Danio rerio: one gene and its partners. Each later gene encodes a partner of the first gene's protein in a complex. Links are inferred from orthologs where the notes say so. Each region holds a gene or a part of one and is shown in the gene's direction. Other genes may lie near its edges.

Region 1 (4,328 bases):
TAGATCAAGATATAAAGATATAAACATGAACATTTAAACACATAAAGAAAAGTATTAACCCATTCTCCCCCCTTCTTTAGAAAAGATTCAAAAAAAGATTTTGGTATGGAAAACAAAGCTAAATAAATGTCAAATTGAGATTTTTAAATTTATTTTTCCTCAAAAATTAAGCTTCACATTTTTTTTTTTTTTCTGGCATTAATTCAGGTCAATTTGATGTTCTACAATTGTTACAAATTTATTTTGTGATTTTAGTTAATTTTTTTCACAATAAACCTTTGCAGTGTAAATGGCTTGATATAATTATTTTGAAGGTTTGAACAATAAGATCGTATTTATTGTCTGTTTTATTATGTAAAATGTTTATTAGAAAAGTCAGTTCAACTAGTTTGTCAATGATACTTATAACCACGTTTGATTATTTGGTTGTAATGAATTGATTTTAGTAAGATTGTCAATGTTTGTGAAAGTTTTGATTCTTAACATCAAATTGTCCAAGTTGCCTAAACAAATGAAAACCAAAATGTATGATTTGTAGTGATTCTTAAAACTAAAAGTAATATGAATCTGCCACAAAATAAATTAATGACTAAAAGTATATATTTGCCAAATAAAATAGGCTATAGTTAATATTGAACATTCAAAGATAATACAGTAAAATAATGCCAATGTTGACAATATGACTCTTAAAAACATTAAACCAAGTAAATTATTTCATTTAATGTGAGACAAATTGTCGCCTCACAACAAAAATGTCGCTGTTTCTGTTTCTGTGTAAAGAAGCATGTTCTCCCTGCGTTCGCGTGGGTTCCCTTCGGGTGCTCCGGTTTCACCCACAGTCCAAAGACATGCAGTACAGGTGAATTGTGTAGGCTAAATTGTCCATCGTGTATGAGTGTGATTTGGAAGTTTCCCAGAGATGGGTTGCAGCTGAAAGGACATCCGCTGCATAAAACATACTGGATAAGTTGGCAGTTTATTCCGCTGTGGCGACCCCAGATTAATCTAGTGACTAAGTCGAAAAGGAAATTAATGAATGAATGAGACAAATAATAAAAGTTTTTGTAATTACAAAATCTAAATAAAGCTCATATTACGTGTTTAAATGATTTTTTTCCATTTATAACATTCTTCTAAATTTTTGGGCAATGCTTCAGGTCAATTCAATGTTCTACAATTCGTTACAAATGTATTTTTGTGTCCGAAGCAAGATGATAATTTAATAAAAGTAGTTTTAAAAAGAATAATAATAAAAAAAAGAGTAGTTTGTAAAAGAGTTTTGGTATCATTGATTAAATATCTGTGAAGCACCTCGAAATAATATTTTTTTAAATAAAGTTTTTTAATTATTATTATTATTATCATTATTATTAAATTCCCATAGACATTTTTGGCAGTCATAAACAGACTGCCGTCCTCTGGGTGTCGCTGTCCGGGCGCGCGCTGCTCGCACACGAGTTCGCCTGAGTTTAGCCAATCAAATGTTGTTTTCACACACGGAAAGACCCTTCACATTTGTAGAAGATGGCGACTGCTGAACCGGTGAGTTAGTGTAACTGCTCTCACAAACACTACTGCACATACTTTAACGGCGGGGTTTAATCTGTAATACGAGTTTTATGTCGACCAGGGCTTGTGTATAAGCTAATTTGAATAAATATTCAAGTAGAGACAGATTTATATTCCATCATACAGTCAAATGAGCTGATGCCCGACTGTCGCACACATGCGTTTGAAGGAGACTGTTCAAAAGTGTGAAATAGTTGATGTTTTCTCTGAAATGGAGGGCTGTGGGCTGCTTGTTTTTTCAGAGAGTTGAACGTGGTGTTGAAGCATCTCTGTTATTTAGACTCGTAGTTTGCTGATGTGTCAATGAAAAGTATGTGGTTTGTTTTTAGCCTCTGTATGGACAGTAAATGAAACTTAATATAAGTAACGTTACATATTGCGATATTGTTAAAGGTTAACTTTGTATACTTTTAAAGATTTTTGTAATATAACCTTTAGTTTGTGAGTTAATATTATGTGTTTAGAAAGATTCATGTTTTAGTGTAATAACAATGAGAAGGTTGAAACTTAATGTTCATTCTTCCTCTGGAGAAACTCTGTTTCAAATATGGGCAGTTTTCTTTCATTAGGGTATATAAGCAGCTTTTGAGAACTTTTTTAACTAAATAACTTTTTGAACAGAACTTATAAGGTTAAATGATTCATCTAGCACCCATAAAGAAATTTACTTGTTATTGTTTTAAGTATTTATACCAATTTTTTTATTCACCATCAGGATTTTGTTGAAATGTTGTTTTGAAGTTATTCAGTTTCTGGAACTAAAATGGTGTCATAAGTCTGTTTATTTAATTAGACTATTTGATATATTTTTGTAATTAAGGTAAAACTGTTTTTATATTTACATATTTGGACTTTCTTTATATAATTTCAGAAACGTATTATTTGCAAATTCTAAATAGGGAAATCAGCAGTTAAACTATCAAAGCACAACATTGTTCACAGTGAATTAAATAGTGTTAATGTTGTTTAGAAGTCATACGTGCATGCTAATTCCGATTGAATATTCAATGTAATATGGTAACCAATATAGACACTGCTAAATGAATAAATGTGTGAATTTAAACCAACTTAACCTCTATCAGTTTTCTTTCATTAGGGTATATAAGCAGCTTTTGAGAACTTTTTAACTAAATAACCTTTTGAACAAAACATATTAGGTTAAATTATTCATCTAGTAGCACCCATAAAGAAATTTACTTGTTATTTTTTTAAGTATTTATACCCATTTTATTTATTCACCCTCAAGATTTTGTTGAAATGCTGTTTTGAGGTTATTCAGAGTTTCTGAAACTAAAATGGTGCCATAAGTCTGTTTATTTAATTAGATTATTTTATATATTTTTGTAATTGAGGTAAAAAAGTTTTTTATATTAGCATATTTGGATTTTCTTAATATAATTTCAGAAAAGTATTATTTGCCAATTCTAAATGGGGACTTTATATTAGTAGTCAAGGACTGTATTAAATGAACGAATGTGCGGATATAAATCCAACTTTACCTCAGTATTTTGTAGCGTATACAGTGTGATCTAGGCAGGTGACGATCACCGTTTTCAAGGTATACCACGGTTTGGAAAAGTCAAGGTTTTAAAACTGTCAAAATTTTCTGTAATACCGCACCGTGTAAGATTTTTTATTTACTTTTTGTTTGTTTTTGAAGACAACAGTTTCTCAAGCTGGAAAGATATCCAAAGATTCATGTCTATGATTCATTTTCATTATATATCTTGACATGTTTACTGCTCCAGATTTGTAAAAAATCTTTCAAAAAATAAAATATATTGTTTTCAAAAAGGAAAAAAAAATTAAAGCAGTAATCGAAATACCGTGATACCTGGAAACCATGATATTTTTATCCAAGGTTATTACACCGTCAGAATCATATACCGGCCAATGCCTTGTCTGGTAATGTAGTGTGTATTAGGCAGAGCTAATGGAAAAGTATTAGTAAGTAATAGTGCTCACTTTAAGCCTGATAATACATTCCAGGGAGTTTGACCTGGCTTAGTTTTTAGTACTAGGACAAAACTTTGCTAGTGCTTCAATATGAAAATGCTAGTTATTTATGTTTAATGTTATTTACATTAGTGCCAAAAAGCTTTTGAAAAAATTTAAGTCCTTTTTTTATTTCTTCGACTCATTTAGGACTAGATTTTGTTAATAAATTCTAATATTTATGCATATACCATTATAACATGTTTCATCTGAAAGAGAATGCTTTTGAAAGTGGAAAGCCAGAGTAATTTTCTTATTATTTTCATTATTTGTATTTTTTGTTCATTTTTTTTTTTTTTTTTGTTAGGGCCATTGCTCACTCGTGGGGGCTTTTGTCACCCGTTTAGAAAGTCATTAACAATACAAAAAAAAAAAAAAAAAAAATCTGATTGCTCTCTTAATAGCGTTTTCTCATTTTAAAACAAAAAACTGCATAGACCAGTGGTTCTCAAACTGTGGTACGCGGGCTGCCTTCTAGTGGTACGCAGAGTAATCCGATATGCCATATCTACATGCAACAGATATTTAAATATTTATAAAAAATGACTCGTATATGAATATGATGACATATAGCCTATATTTATGAGGTCCAAGCAGCATTTCCAGGCTTTTATACTACAGGTGAACACTTTACATTTAAGTACAGGTGTTTTTTCTTTACTTTTTAAGAACAGTAGCCTACCATTTTTAATTAACTTTTAAAATTACATTTTAATTTAAACATTGAAATTTTATTTATTTGTTTTTTTACACATAAGCACAGC
Region 2 (3,652 bases), on another chromosome or scaffold:
ATTCAGGGGGGAATTTTAAAGCATTGTTTTGCGTTGATAAAGTCTTTATCCGATCAGTAAAACTGGTCAAGTTTTATATTATTTATTAATTTCTTTCAATGTTTTAAACTAAAGGAAAAATTTCAGCTTCCTTTTTCTATTCTCCACAATCATATGATCCTTTAGAATTGATAATAACATGTAAATTAGGAGCTGACAAAACCTTTATTATTTGAATCAAGCAAATTTTAATTACAAAGTTTGGTATAATTTGGTGAGAATAGGGGTGAAAAATGACCATTAACCTACCTTAACTTAGAACTTGATATTTTATGTATCAAGACTTGACTTTAAAATACATTTACATGCTTACTCATTTCGTTTTTGATTAATTACATTTACAATCAACTGCTGTCAAAAAGATTCCCGTTAAAACTAATTTAATAATTTACAAATTATGCATTGTGTGCTTGCCAGTGATATGTTTTGTAAAGAGATACACTACGTCTACGCACATTCATTGTTTTGCATGTCATGTTGTGCGCCAATACTTAACCTGTTAAATGCATATGTGAAACATCACAGTATTCACAAAAAAAAAATCACATTTTAAGTAAAATGTTATTGTTCAAAGCAAACACTTTGCCACCATTTCCCCCCCTCAAAGTTGTAGTTTAAGGGTGGTTTCACATCTAGACTTTTATTTCGGAACCTGTCTCCATTGCCTAGTTAGCATGGTTCGTTTGGCATATGTAAATCCAGCAATTGCGCTCGGATCCGCGCCAAAACAATCGCTCCGAGATCACCTGAATGAGGTGGTCTCGGCTTGATTGAAACGAACTCTGGAGCGGATCGATTGTAGTAAGAAAGCGATATGATCCAAGCACGGCAATTTCATAGTGTTTTATGGATATGTAATAGGCATATGGCAATACGAAGAGAGAATTAAGAGTAGGGTGGAAGGTCATTCCAGACATCCCAAGTCTCCCGGAAGTTCTGGGAGTTTTCCGCAAATGCACAGAGACTACCGAATGCCTGCAAACGAATGATAATCTCCCGGAAATTGTGTCTCCCTGCCGGTCCTCAAATACGTTGTGCAAATACGTACGGCATGATTTGACTCATCGGCGATTCTCTCAGATCGCATCTTTGATGGTTCATACTGTGTGATTGGCACTCACATGCACGAGCACCGATTTGCCTGTGATTTCAGGCATTTGTCGGCGATTTCTCAAAACCTGGGGCGAGCCGAAATCGCGGCTAAAATCACACAGTCTGAACTAGGCATAAGTGAATAGCCGAAATGTGCAGAAGGTTTTTTCTTTTTAGCTGAAGATGGTGTTTTGTTGACGATGGTGTGTAGCTTGTCTTGTGCAAGGCAGTCGCATTGTCTAAATGTCTCATTTTGGTCTATCCTGCAACTTTTTTCCCTAACAGAACAATGGAAACCAATCAACCCAGAGGAGAAGAAACGATATGATCGAGAGTTCCTGCTTGGCTTTCAGTTCATTAGTGCAAGCATGCACAAGCCAGAGGGTTTGCCACACATCAGTGATGTTGTCTTGGACAAGGTGAACCTTGCATCTGGACCCCTCAAATTTATCCTGTGCCGTTTAGTTTTTAAAGTTACATTCACTCACTTGTTGTTTGTATAACAGGCAAATAAAACCCCCTTGCGGCCCTTGGACCCCAGGAGTCTGATGAACTGTGGGCCTGATTTCACACCTTCATATGCTAACTTGGGTCGGCAGTCATCCGGAGGAGGAGGGCGAGGACCGGTCAGTTCAGTTTCTTTAGTCATAGGATTTTAATAGTTAAAATATTTACTCTGTGTTGAGGTCAGTCATTTATTTTTAAATGTTGAACTCCTTTCAGTCTGCACGGCGCCCTCAGCCGGGTCGAGGCAAAGACCAGATCAGTCGCAACCCCAAGATCATCACCAGCGTTTCTCTCAAAGACAACATTGAGCTCAACCAGGCTGAGAACGCTTGGACACCCTCGGTCAAGAAGCAAGTACGAAGTCGTGGAGAAGAGGAGGAGGATGATGCGGAAGCCGCTAAAACACAGGAGCTGTTCCGCCGTGTGCGCAGTGTCCTGAACAAGCTCACACCACAGATGTTCCAGCAGCTGATGAAGCAGGTGACCGAGCTCGCCATAGACACTGAAGAGAGGCTCAAGGGTGTCATTGACCTCATCTTCGAGAAAGCCATCTCTGAACCCAACTTCTCTGTAGCTTATGCCAACATGTGCCGGTGCCTTATGGGGGTAAGTAACTTTTTTCTGCAGGGTTGCTCGTGTCTGTTGCTTCATTGATGACCTGTTTTGTGCCACTGATGTATTGTAATGGTAATGAGGATCTGAAGAGCTTTCTTTTGGTTGGCACTCAAAAAAAACATGAAGCCATATTGTTGTTGTTCATTTTAAAATCACACAAATTGCAATTCTATTAATAATTACTGGGAGTGTTTCGGTTTCTCCAAATCACCAAACCGTACACTTCAAGAAGTTTTTAAAAGAAACGTAAATAGATCAAGCATTTTTTTCAGGAAACTTTGTTTATTGAATAAATAAAACATCTTATTTCTGTAAGAATCGATGCACCTACACAGCTCAAAGTTAATCAATTGAAGTGTAGTCGTACTTCAGAAATGAGAGTAAACCTCACTGGTTCACCTTTTAGCTTCTGTTTGCAGTTTTAGCCTGTTAAATACCAGGGGTGTAACGGAACACGGTTGATCCGTACAGATCACAACTTGCGGTTCGGAACACACTTGACCTGCAGATTAAATAAATTTTTTTACTTGTAGATTGATTCTAAATTTGTAACGATCACAGAGAGGTCATTTCTCGCATCATTCAAATCACATGTATGAAAGCATTTCGGCTTTCTTGTAAAATATAATGATGATGGAAGAAGTTGTGGTAGGTTATTCGACATGTGGTGGGTTTCATAAAAGGTGTTTTCTGTCACTATTTGTTTAGCCTGCATTAATGCATTCAATGTAAGCTGCACGATTAATTATTAAAAGATTGTGAAGTCAACTACCACGCAACAAATTATAAATGATGATGTATTGCAGATGTTTATCAATCCTTCAAATCACTGCATCCAAATCTGAAACCGCAAAAATTAAGAGATTTATCTTTTAGTCTTTTGAGTTTATGAAGTTGTAGGCAGCAATTGCATTATTTAAACAAGAGGTGGCGACCAACCAAACATGAAAAATATACCACTGAATAATTTTTCACAAATTATACATCAGCCATGATACCTGAAGTTTTATAAGTGAAAAAGTAAATCATTTATTGAAAATGAGATTAAAAATAATTAAATGTTGTTCAAATTATAATGTTAGATTTCTACATTTAGCATTAGCTGCAACAGTAGTAGTAACAGTGAATTTTTCAATATTTTACAATATATATTATACAGCTGATTATTTCTTAATTTTTATTTTTTTAAATGACAGGCTCTAAATTCTGTTTGTTAAAACCAAAAGTGTCTTGCAGGGCTGTTTTTTGTAAAAAAAAAAATAGAAAGCAGATTATACATTTGTCTTTTTTTGGCTGATCCGAAAAATGGTTCAATCTGCGACTAAAAACCATTCACTGATCCGAATCGTGAGATTTGTTATCCGTTACATCACTTAAAAACGATTACTGTTTTAAAATG
Region 3 (4,392 bases), on another chromosome or scaffold:
AAGTGAAATGCACAGTCCTTCTCTTCTGCTTCACTAAATGTGCTTTACAATATTTTGAATACAGGCTACAAGGTTAAACTGAGTTTTGAAATCTATACAAAGTCCAGACTGAATGAATGTATTTATTTTTAATGGTATTAATTTGTTATTTATTTGATATGATGTGATCACAGATGTTATTATTGAATTTTGAAAAATGTAAAAAATTCTTAAACTGACAGTTAAGTTTATAAAAAACAATCCCTATCAAGTAAAATAAGAACAGAAATTAATATAAAATAATTTTAATTATGTTAAAAAAACTAAATCTTGCAGAAAAAAAGCAAGCAAAAGTCCTCTTATATCACACAATGTGTTTTTTCAATATTGTGAAATAAACAAGGTTACGAGGTTAAACTGAGTTCAGTAATCTATACGAAGTCCAGACTAAATCAACGTATTTATTTAACATTATTTATGTGATATGATCACAAATGTGATTATTGAATTTTGAAAAATCTGAATAATTTTTACTGAGATAACAAACAATTTGCATTCACAATCCTCCCATCCTCAATAACATGAATACTACTACTACTACTACTACTACTACTAATAATAATAATAACAATAATACAGCATTCATGTATTCATTCATTTTCTTTTCAGATTTACCCTATAAATCTGGGGTCGCCACAACGGAATGAACCGCCGATTTATCCAGCATATGTGTTACGCAGCAGATGCCCTTCCAGCTGCAACCCATCTCTGGAAAAAAATAAATAAATAAATAAAATAATAAAAAAAAAAAAAAAAAAAAAAATATATATATATATATATATATATATATATATATATATATATATATATATATATATATATATATATATATATATATATATATATATAAATAAACAAATAAATAACAAATAAAATAAATGATACAGAAAAATACAAAACAGGGGAGTTGAAGTTCTCACAATATGCAACCAAAATCCTCAAATGATGAACATAAATATCTTTCTTGTTGGCTTTTCATCTCTTTTAATGTCTTTAAATATATATATCAGATTCTCCTTTAAACACCCATAGTCTTGGGGAAATTAAAAAAATATATAAAAATTTATGAATATAAAATTGCAATAATATCAACAAATTCATTATCTATCTTTTTATCTTTAAGCATTACGTTAAACTTAATAATTTCCTATGAGAAGATAAGTCTTGCAGATGTTTTCTGATGTATCCAAACCCAAACTAATTTTTGTCCCAAAATGTTTGTACCAATTTACATCGGAAAAACAAGTGTATAATTTTTTTAATGTCTAGGTTACAAAACTAGCATACATTTGAGTCAACAATATTTAATTTTATCCTTATAAGTTATTTTGCAGTAAAAACTCATTGACTGGTATCAAAAATGTTGAGTAAAACAAATTGTGGGCGTTGAATCGACGTAATTCTTCCCTGACGTCATATCCTCCGAGCGCTCTTCGCTTCCTGCCTGGCGGAGGGAGGGGTCGGTGCTGACGGCTGGGAGGACGAGCTGAACGTGAAGAAAGCCCTGGGAAAGCGATAAGAAACGAGGGGAAAGGGCCCGAGGTTTTTACCTTCCATCGGGGAAAACTTATCGCTCGACTCTGATTAGCACCCGAAGCAAGTGCAATGTCGTCCAGTCGTCAGCTTAGTGAGAGCAGGGCCATCCCGACCAGGACGGTGCTGATCAACGACTCAACGCAGCTACCTCACGACTATTGCACCACTCCTGGAGGCACTTTATTCTCCACCACCCCGGGAGGTAATAAAGCGAGACGAGCCCTTAAATATGCAGCTGTTTGCAGGGAGATCGTGTAATAATGGTTGGCCTGTGTTGGCCAGGAAGCCGTAACCACATAAAACGGCTGTGTCTTAAAACCTAGTGTTCCACCTGCCTAGATAGCATTATAGGGTTCTCGCTGTAACCTTCGTTTAGTTTGCATGTAAACAGTGTAATGATGGTCAAAAACGCTAAGACTTTTAAAACGGACATGGTTTAAATATGTATACTAGGTAGGCAGCGTACTAGGTTTTTGAGACACAGCCATGTAGTTCAAAACAAAAACAGCGCCGCCTGTGCGTCGATATGATCAACATGATTGGTCCGCAGTGACTGATTGACAGAACAGGACAGAACAAAGGAATGTAGGACATTAAACGCACATAAGGATATGTATAGTAATAATGAAATATACTATATCAATTGTCATCTTAATTGATATATAGATCAACAATATGTTTGCATATATTTGTGCCTATTTGTGTATGCATGCATATGTATGCATGTAGGATGTTCTGTGTATGTATGTAGGATTTCTGCAGGATCTAAAAAGTCTTGGTTCACCATTTAAGGATTTGAAATGGATTCAAATTTAGGCATGAACTCTTGCAAGTAGGCATGGGACAATAATGGTTTTCAAGGTATATCACAGTTTGGAAAAGTCAAGGTTTTAAAACCGCCAAAACATTTTTTTGTTACACCTTCCCTACAGTATATGCAATAATTTTTTCAAAGTTTTTGTTGCTGTTGTTGTTTTTAGGACAACAGTTTCTCCAGCAGATAAGAGATTGAAAGATATGGTTTTAAATTGTAAAGAAATCTGTGTTTTTGACACTAATAAACACAGCAGGAGTCAATGATTCATTTGAATTATTTAACCTGACATGTTCCAAAATATTTCAAATGTTTTGCATAATAAAATATATTGGCTGCGTGCAAAATCACAGACTACTCATTAGGTACTGCATTTAAATAAAAGTTTACTACTCAATCAATAGAATAGTATGTTCTATGCAGTATGAATGTGAGTAGTATGAATGAGCTTGGATGTAGTACGGGGTTCATTTTGTCATCATCACATGACAGACCTGCTTCACTTTCATGAATATTCTCGCAGTGTATCATGGGATAGCGTCGTGTCCATTGAATGTGCACTTTAGAATCTCGGCGAAAGTAGTAGGTCATCCAGGTACTACTCGCATACTGTTTATCAAATTCTATGAATCGGCTTGCATACTGTTTTTAGCGTACTATATAGTATGTAAGCATGCAATTTCAGATGCAGCCATTGCTTTTAAAACAGAATACATTTTTTTATTATTATTTTTTTTAACCCAGACGTTTAATAAGAATATATTTTGGAGCAGAAATCACATTACTGTAAAACCGTGATGTTTTTATCCAAGGTTATCATACCATTAGAATCTTATACTAGCCAATGCCTACTTGCAAGCAAGTATTTTTGTTTTGCAGTATAAACATGCTTAAAGGGACAGCCCAAAATTAAAAATTCTTTCATCATTTACTCATCTTTCGCCATTTGAGTTTTTTTTCTAATAAACACAAAAAAAAGATACTTTGAAAAATGCTGGTAGCTGGCACACATTGACTTGCGTAGTGTTGTTCCTCTCAATTCCTCACTTTCCCTCTCATAACATGTAATAATGCTTCTCAAGTAACTAAATCTTGATTTAACATATTGTGAATATTTGTAACTTAAAAAAGAATTATGAAGTGACCAAGAGGGCACATTAAAGTTATTTCAGAATCCTATTATTCAAACTTTAAAAGGATAGTTCACAAAAAAAAATGAAGAAGTACTGTATAAAAAAACAAGGAAAATATTTCAAAGAATAACCAGAAACCATGCTAACCAATGACATGTATAATCACGTAAAGTCAACGGTTAACATTAACATTTTAGTTACCAGCATTTCCTGTGTTAAACAGTAAGCAAAACTCATACAGGCTTGGTACAAGTAATGTGTATAGGATGACAGTATTATTATTAATATTATTATTATTAGCTAAAATCTTTCATGCAATGTTTTTTTATAAAATTGATTTAAAAGATGCAGAAGTAGCAAAAATATAATTTTTTTTTTAATGTGTAGCTCACCCTAATTGGGACATGAGCTTCATTAAAACCATTAATAATCCCATTAAAATCATCATAATTTTCTCACCCATATTCTCAACCCCATATAATTTGCTTACATATTATTACTGCAAAGCAAAATGTGTCAGATTGCTTTAGGTTGAGGTTAATTTATAGTCTTCCATAGGGAAAAAAGTGCTACTTTGGAAGCTGTATATTAAAACAGAATCATAACATAATATATTTATTTATGACAATGCAGGAACCCGAATAATCTATGATCGTAAGTTCCTGTTGGACCGGCGTAACTCCCCCATCGCCCAGACCCCACCAGCGCACCTGCCGGTTATCCCAGGAGTGACGGGCAAGAACATCCTGAATGAAATCAAGCGGAATGAAGCGAACAACATCAACAACCATGATGCCAAGCCAGGGCAAGGTTAGTCTTTCAAACTGACCGAACTGGAACCGTTTCCACTGGAACCTCCCTGCTTTGTGC

Evidence for each region.
Region 2: the proteins of eif4ea (region 1) and eif4g1a are in contact, whole or in part, in a crystal structure (PDB 5T46), measured with the Homo sapiens proteins. The link is inferred for Danio rerio from reciprocal best matches to the Homo sapiens genes EIF4E and EIF4G1. Residues at the interface, in NP_001959.1 of Homo sapiens: Pro31, Tyr34, Lys36, His37, Pro38, Leu39, Gln40, Phe47, Lys49, Arg61, Leu62, Ile63, Ser64, Val69, Glu70, Trp73, Ala74, Leu75, Tyr76, Asn77, His78, Ile79, Gln80, Leu85, Tyr91, Glu132, Leu135, Ile138, Gly139, Glu140; in NP_937884.2 of Homo sapiens: Glu608, Lys609, Lys610, Arg611, Tyr612, Arg614, Phe616, Leu617, Leu618, Phe620, Gln621, Phe622, Ile623, Phe624, Ala625, Ser626, Met627, Gln628, Lys629, Pro630, Leu633, Pro634, Ile636, Asp638, Val639, Val640, Leu641.
Region 3: the proteins of eif4ea (region 1) and eif4ebp2 are in contact, whole or in part, in a crystal structure (PDB 3AM7), measured with the Homo sapiens proteins. The link is inferred for Danio rerio from reciprocal best matches to the Homo sapiens genes EIF4E and EIF4EBP2. Residues at the interface, in NP_001959.1 of Homo sapiens: His37, Pro38, Leu39, Gln40, Val69, Trp73, Tyr76, Asn77, Leu131, Glu132, Leu135, Ile138, Gly139, Glu140, Ser141, Asp143, Asp144, Ser146, Asp147, Arg186; in NP_004087.1 of Homo sapiens: Pro47, Thr50, Arg51, Ile52, Ile53, Tyr54, Arg56, Phe58, Leu59, Leu60, Arg62, Arg63, Asn64.

Annotation. Positions count from the first base shown.
Region 1 is NC_133189.1:48,179,079-48,183,406, reverse strand, and holds the start of eif4ea (eukaryotic translation initiation factor 4E-1A), read left to right. Parts: upstream 1-1,524; coding exon 1,525-1,542; intron 1,543-4,328. UniProt on the Homo sapiens protein: Acts in the cytoplasm to initiate and regulate protein synthesis and is required in the nucleus for export of a subset of mRNAs from the nucleus to the cytoplasm which promotes processes such as RNA capping, processing and splicing.
Region 2 is NC_133177.1:19,192,996-19,196,647, forward strand, and holds part of eif4g1a (eukaryotic translation initiation factor 4 gamma 1a), read left to right. Parts: intron 1-1,416; coding exon 1,417-1,550; intron 1,551-1,637; coding exon 1,638-1,757; intron 1,758-1,854; coding exon 1,855-2,244; intron 2,245-2,283; exon of another isoform or gene 2,284-2,344; intron 2,345-3,652.
Region 3 is NC_133188.1:33,555,338-33,559,729, forward strand, and holds the start of eif4ebp2 (eukaryotic translation initiation factor 4E-binding protein 2), read left to right. Parts: upstream 1-1,491; 5' UTR 1,492-1,644; coding exon 1,645-1,777; intron 1,778-4,155; coding exon 4,156-4,332; intron 4,333-4,392.